Drosophila melanogaster: one gene and its partner. The protein of the gene in region 2 interacts with the protein of the main gene of each other region in a pairwise test. Each region holds a gene or a part of one and is shown on either strand. Other genes may lie near its edges. The genes, in order: CG7488 and Tmlh.

Region 1 (3,971 bases), 7.4 Mb from region 2:
AGAAGAAAATGTCCGCATCGACGGACCAGGATCCCGTGGAACTAATGCTGAAGAAGACCGGCTGCATAGAGCTTCACTACAAGGTGCAGGAGTGTATCGCCGAGACGGGCGACTGGAGGGCTTGCCAGGAGAAGGTGAAAGAGTTCCGGGCGTGCATGCAGAAGTACGTGGAGCAGCAGAGCCAGAAGTATGCCCACGTCAAGTAGCATCCTGCAGAAGTTCCTCAGCAACGGTTTGGCCTTCGGCAAGTCCACCAAACTGGCGCTGGTGGTCCGAACCGACCTAAAGATGTCCAAGGGAAAGACAGCGGCCCAGTGCGCCCATGCGGCGGTCATGTGCTACCAGAGCTCTGTGCAGGGAACCAAGCTGCAGAACGCCATTCTGCAGCGTTGGTGTCGCCTGGGACAGCCGAAGATAGTGCTGCGCGTGGACAACTTCGAGCAGCTAAACTCCCTGGAGCGACAGGCCCAAGAGTCGAACGTGGTGGCCGCCTTGGTGAGGGATGCCGGGCGCACTCAGCTGGAATCTGGGACAGCAACGGTCCTCGGACTGGGTCCAGCCCCTGCCGAAGATCTAGACAAATTGGTGGCGCATTTGAAGCTTTTGTGAACTCTTAGGTTTATGCAACGTTACAAATAAAGTACAAGTAATCAACAAGTGCTCAAGCGGCGGTCTTCTTGCCCTTGGAAACTGTAGATATAGTAAGGGACACTGCTTGGCCGAACATCTCCACCAGGTCTGATGTAACTCGCTCCGTGATCTGCCGCAGCTTGCCATTACCCTCGCCACAGATTAGGCGCTCGATTCGCGTGGTGGGGCACTGAACCTGCACGGATGTGTAGACAACATCTGCAAAGAAAATCGGAATTGAAAAGGATTTCTTTACGAGTGTACAGAAGTACTCACTTTTTTCCACACTGTAGTACTCGATCTCGCACTTAAGGTTGTAGGGTATCTCCTGCGGCAAGTAGTCCAGCAGACGAGCCCGCACACTCTCCACAATTAATGCTTCTGGGCTGGAGTCCGTATGAATGTCAGCTGGGTATTTCCAATCCCTGGGCTTAGCCTGGCCCACCAGGTAGTTCTGCATCTCCTGCAGCCCATTGCCGGTCAAGGCGGAAACAAGAAACACGTCGCTAAAATGGCTCCAGCTAGACTCCCGCTTGTTGATTCTTATTTCCTTGGCGAGAGCACTTTTTGCCTGGACTTCCCGCTTGCCAACTGTCAAGGTGTCGTTGGTGAGTGTCTTGATCAGATCCAACAGCAAACGCTTCGACTTCAGGGCGTCTATCTTATTCAGCACCAGGAAACTGGGCAGGTTGCTATACGCCTTCAGCGTATCCAAGACAGTGGGATGCAGTTCCTTCCTAGTCCAGGCATTTGAGGCATCGTGCACCACGGCGATGATGTCCGCATGCTGTATGGCATGGCGGTAGGCACTCTTAAAGTTCTGGTCCAGGTGGTGCCGACGAATCTCATGTTGCGTGACCAGGCCCGGCGTATCGTAAAAGACCAACTGCGTCTGGCCGGTGGTGTAAATGGCCGTGTTCGACTGCCGAGTGGTGTGCACCTTGGCCGAGGTGGGACACACTCGGTGGTTCACCGTGTTGTTGATGAACGTGCTCTTTCCCACATTGGGCACTCCAATTACCGCGATGTGCAGTGATCGTTGCTCCTCTCCGGGATTCCTCGATTCTGCGGGCGGTGGGCGCGTGGTCGGAGCCACTGCATCGTTGGTGTGGGCGGCGCCGGTCAAGCTGCGCACGTTCACCAAGAACAAATTGTGGGTTTTCGTGCTATTCAGCAATTTTAACGAACTGGCTAACAGATTATAGCGCATATTGCTATTTACACTGTTTACGCTAAATAAATTACGATTTACACAACAGCTTTGTATATCGATACCTCTTATCGATTGTTGGTAGTGATTTGATTAATTTAATAAATCGCCGTTAAGTCTTTTGGCGCGAAATTTGTTGCTTTAGTTTTCTAAGTTTAGAAATTATGCATTAAATTTATATTTTTGGGTTAATTATTATTAATTGCTAGAGAATATATTGCTAGAACAGCAATGCTTTCATAAACGAATAGCGTAACGTTTCTTACAACTAAATGTTCTTCTCATGTTTTTGTGATTGATTTATATATGTATACAACATAAAAAGAAAGAAAAGCTGAAAGCTGTTTATAATTCCATTTGTATGTAAATAATTAGATTTTTACTAACGATTATTATCAGGCTAACAAGTCACAAAACCGGTTTGAGAACTTGTGAGAGTCGCGCTTTTCTTATCAATTTTAATAATTTGCGTTCGAACCGCTGTGAGAATAGATTCCAATTGGGAACAAATTGGCTTTCAGTCGCTATTGAGGCCTCAACTTGGCAAGGCGAACTTAGATTATAGTTCCCCAGGAAAACCGAGCAATGTTATCGCCCCAATTTTTGATTCTAAGTTTAATCTCAGGGTTACAGCTGCTTTCCTTGGCAGATGCTGATCCCATGATAGAGGTCTTCCGATGGAAGCAGATGGACTTTTACAATCGCGGAGATGGCCATCTAAGCTCGGGCGGAAGGAAAGACAGGCCCAGCTTTTCAGGTTAGTACTCATAATATGATATTACTAGTTCTCATTCAGCAATAGCAATCTCGCGAGCCTTGTTAGATAGATTTATTGGTATTTACTTATGTACTATTTTTTTATTGTTCAACTAGCTCCGGTTGTCTTTCCTGGAAAGTATTCTCGTCGAAAGCGTAAGATTATGACCTCCCGCGATACACCGGTAGTGGTCAGCTCCCGCGCCGACAGCGACGACCCCAACGCCTCCTACATTCCGTACAATAACGTGCCCATGGGAGCCACTCACTTCCGCGGCCGCCTCTTTGTCACGATGCCTCGTCGACGGGTGGGCATCCCATCCACCTTGAATTACATCGATCTGGCCGAGGACGGATCGAATCGCAGCCCCAAGCTGCGGGCCTATCCCAACTTTGCGCTTAATCAGTTCAACGCGAGTGCGGAGAATCTGGTGTCCGTCTACAGAACCTCCGTGGATGCATGCCAGCGTCTCTGGTTTATCGACACGGGAATGCTGGAGTATCCAAGTGAGTTGGCATGTATTGACATGTAATATAAAAGATCAGGATCGATCCGTATTAATCTAATTTGGTGACCAAGAATATAAAAAACTCAATCATGATTCTCATATCCAGATAACCGCCAACAGATCCGCCGTCCCAGCATTTGGGTAGTTGACTTGGCCACGGATCAGGTGCTGAAGCGCTTCGATGTTCCGGAGAGTATAGCTGAGACGGGTCGCGGATTGGCCAGCATCACCGTGGATGTGAAGGCGGGTCAGTGTGGCGATGCCTACGCCTATATTCCGGATCTGGTGTACCGGCGCCTGTACGTCTATCACCTGCGAAACGATAGAATCTGGTCCTTCGAGCACAACTACTTCAACTTCGATCCGCTGTCCGGGGATCTCAGCATTGGCGGCCAGACCTTCCGCTGGGACGATGGCATCTTCTCAATAACTTTGGGGGCCCAGAAACTGGATGGGAGCCGCGATGCCTACTTCCATCCCATGGCCAGTACGAATGAGTTTGTGGTCTCCAACCGGGTTCTGCAGCAGGAATCCAACGCCGCACGTTCCGATCATGGGAACGATTTCCGGGTACTCGGAAGCCGTGGTCCGTCCACCCAGTCTACGATGCACGCTTACGATCCTGGGACTGGGGTGATCTTCTTCGATGAGATCCAGCGCAACGGAGTGGGCTGCTGGAAGACCAGCAAGCCCATCTCGGCGGAAAACTATGGCTCTGTGGATTCCAATGCCGAGGATATGATTTATCCCAGCGACTTGTCGGTAAGCAAATGGTTTTGGATAAAAAAGTTGAAGAAAAAAAGTTATACATCTCATCTTACTATTGCAGATTGACGAGGATGGCACCATTTGGGTCATGTCCAACT
Region 2 (3,621 bases):
AAACAAATGCCAAATGATTTTTGTTGCTGGTTTTCTGTATGCGATCCACTCCCCTATGACAAAAATTAGACGCTGGCCAGCAATTGTAATCGTAACTTTTTATTATGATACGTTAGCATTTGCAATCGAAATTGAATTGGAGTGGGACTCGGTTCAGAAAAAAGAAAAATATGCTTGAACAATTTGCGTGTTTTTTTCTATACGCAACGATTCTTTAACAATGTATGCTATTCCTGATATATGAACCGAATTTAAAATATGTTCTTATTTGAGCAATCAAAAGCAAACTTATATATATGCAGAAAGGATGTTGATTTAAGCCAGTATCTTGCATCGAAGTGAAGGAGTCAGCTACGAACATGTAAAGTATATATATTATTGATCAATGTTAAATGTTCTTCTATCCACAAAATAATCTCTCAGTGTTAAAGTTATCCGCATGAAACTTTCCCATTGCAAAAAGTATAAAAGTCGGTACGGACCATATAATACATAAATGATTGCTGAAGGAATATGCGGAGCACTAGAAAGTATAGAAAATAAATCATAATTTCTTAGTTCATAAAAGGTTTTAATTCGGTATACATTAGGTATTTTTCAATAAGCTTTCAGTCAATAATTCCCAGCACTCGAGCCTTGCTGAGAAAATCTGTGCGCTGCACATAGGAACCGGACATGGTACGACTTCCTGTGTATGCCTCTCGACCATGGAGCACTCTCCAGTTATCGAAAAGAACAATGCTGCCGGGACATAGCTTGAGAGCCCACTGCTGTTGCTTATCCCTGACGATTAGCAAAAGCTGGCGAAGACTGTCATAGAACTCGGCCATTTCGGCTTGAGGGATGGTATTAAACACGGCGCGATCATATACATTTAGTCTGAGTTGAACAAATTCCTGAGTCAGTGGATCCACCTGTATAATGGGGGCAGTGTGGTAGTGGTGCTCCCCTTTTTCGATGTACTCTCCAGGAACTTGGACACTGCACAGTACATCATAAGCGGCGGGATACCGGCGTTTCAGTTCGTGAACCACATGCAGACCATCAACAAAGAAATTTTCGCCACCCGATCCCGAGTGCTCAATGCAATGTAGAGCCTGTAGTCCGGCTGCATCGCAGAAATAGGTATTATCCGTATGGGAACCCAGGTAAAGTTTGGTATAAGCGGTGTCCGCGTGATCGGGGTTATCGCTAAAAGTCCACATTTCGCCAAAGAACGTTTTCATAAGGGGGAAAACTCGTCGCAGAGCCAATTCTGTCATATTCGCGGTGGGAGCCACATCATCGATAAAGACAATGCCATAACGCACCAGAGATTCAACCAGGGATCTGACTTCGTTATCACTGGAAACCAGCTGGGGCAATGGGAATCGTAAGTGCCGTTCGTTTTGCAAGATAATGCTACGATTCCATGGTGTCAGATTAGTGGACTTTGATCGCCGACCTATCAACCTCTCCAGCTGTGAGTCGAAGATAAAGTCCAGGTCATAGTTCGACTTGTGAGCATCACTCCCTAAAATGGCAGGCCAATAAAATCGAAGCTAGGTGCATTTTACATCAATTTTTTCTTACACTGCACTTGTAGATTCATCCCGTCGTATTTGACATCTAGTGGCATTATATCAGCTGGTAGATCTAAGACATCGTATCGCCTCTGATTTGTTTCGAAATTTAGACACTCCACACATCGACAATGATCACGGAGCCAAAACTCATTGATTTCTATTGATTGGCTGGTTTTCGGGTGCTTCAAAAGCAACATGTTAATGCCAATAGAACAACCGACGGACTAGAGCAGTGAAAGTGAACTAACAGCTCAAAGTTTGATTAAGTTTCAGCTCGGTTTTAATTGTACTGTTATCAGTAGGAGAGCGATTACTTTCATGCTCAAGTCAGAGATAAGAACTTATTTGTTTACGGAATAACTATAAGATTAATAAATTTATTGAATTTAAAGACAATATGTAATTATTAAGAACAACTCATGAAAGTAAAAAAATTTATAATTTAATCAAGATTGATTGAATGGTATGTTTTTGTTGCAAAGTTATCTTAGTGAATTGCTACTCAAGTTGTTGTATTTTTTATTAAAAAATCATTACTTTAAAGAAAATATAAATATTAATTTCAAATATCTTTTATTGAAAGGGATTTTTTCCCATCTCAACAGGCCAAGTAAAATTCAAATGGAAAAACTCTCTCTAAAACTAGAGATCTCTAAGTTTTTAATTCATTTTGTACCGGTTGTGTGGGAAATCATAAAAAATGAAGACTTTCGTTACTTCCTGGGCCGATGAGGTGGATGCGGACTATGTGGATGGACTGCCGCCTTCTAATGAGTACATTAAGGGCGACTTCAAGTACGTGACGGAGTATAAGTTCAACGATGATGGCAAGAAGGTGAAAGTGGTGCGAACCTTCAAGATCGAGAAGCAGATTGTTCCGAAGGCTGTGGCTCGTCGTCGCAACTGGGTTAAGTTTGGGGATTCGCGATCGGACAAGCCCGGACCCAATTCCCAGACGACAATGGCCTCCGAGGAGATCTTTATGCAATTCATCGGCTCCAAAGATTTCGACCAGACCCACGAAACCCAACTTGATCCCGGCAAGAACATCGCCAAGTGCCGCATTTGCAATGGCGAACACTGGAGTGTCAATTGTCCCTACAAGGGCACCTCGATGGATAGCAAAACCGTGATGGAAACCAAGGCCAATGCCGCTGCAGCTGCCGCTATAAGTGATCCCAGCAAGACCGGAAAATATGTACCACCCTTCATGAAGGACGGCGGAGGCATATCTGGCAGCAAAAATTGGGGACGGGGTCGGGATCGGGACGATTCGTCGGCAGTTCGCATCTCAAACCTATCCGAATCCATGACCGAGACTGATCTCGAGGAGCTGGTAAAGAAAATCGGACCACACACCAAGATGTATTTGGCGCGCGAAAAAAACAGCGGCCTCTGCAAGGGATTCGCCTACGTGCACTTCAAGTTCCGCCAGGATGCAGCTGCCGCCATTGAGGTTCTTAATGGCCACGGCTACGACCACTTGATCCTCTGCGTCGAGTGGTCCAAGCCTCAGCCGTAATGGCTATAGCCTTGTGTATTCGCTTCTCTGCTTATTCGAGAACGGAAATGAGCTGCGGTGGCAGTGAAATCAAAATAAAATTCTGGTACACCCTGCAAAATATGCGACCACTTTTATTTTTAATTTGCACACATTCGATAATTACAGAGAATATATTAATAATAATATAAAATCTATTTATTAATGTTTCGTAGTAGATTTTTTCATCTTTCAGTTGAGCAAAGGATATGAATTGAGATAGATATGAAAATTGTTAAAAACAGTCTGGTTCATTTGGGACCACTCAATTTTCGAGTTGATATACCCTTGGACATCCAAGGTGGATGCTTTTTTTAAGTGCATAAAAGAGAAAGCTCGCCTTGAGCGAACTAAAGCCGATAATGCTCCGTTTTAAATGCGATTTTTTCGCCGTGCTCCGCAGCCGTACAAAGGTGAAAGCCACTTAAATGGAAGCCAACGTGGTGCCGGATGATGATGGCACGGCGTTCCCGGCAAGAGCTGAGAAATGCCACAAGACGCTGGCCGGACCGAATG

What was found.
Region 1: the proteins of Tmlh (region 2) and CG7488 interact in a two-hybrid assay, tested with the Drosophila melanogaster proteins (2 studies listed by BioGRID).

The regions. Positions count from the first base shown.
Region 1 is NT_033777.3:12,993,560-12,997,530, reverse strand, and holds CG7488 (uncharacterized protein), read right to left. Parts: upstream 1,912-3,971; 5' UTR 1,841-1,911; coding exon 907-1,840; intron 850-906; coding exon 662-849; 3' UTR 610-661; downstream 1-609. Other genes in the region: CG44194 (uncharacterized protein), read left to right, coding at 9-206; CG17327 (uncharacterized protein), read left to right, coding at 190-609; yellow-f2, read left to right, coding at 2,426-2,597, 2,714-3,103, 3,212-3,867, 3,935-3,971.
Region 2 is NT_033777.3:20,406,062-20,409,682, forward strand, and holds Tmlh (trimethyllysine hydroxylase), read right to left. Parts: upstream 1,811-3,621; 5' UTR 1,763-1,810; coding exon 1,573-1,762; intron 1,514-1,572; coding exon 609-1,513; 3' UTR 554-608; downstream 1-553. Other genes in the region: eIF3g2 (eukaryotic translation initiation factor 3 subunit g2), read left to right, coding at 2,266-3,087.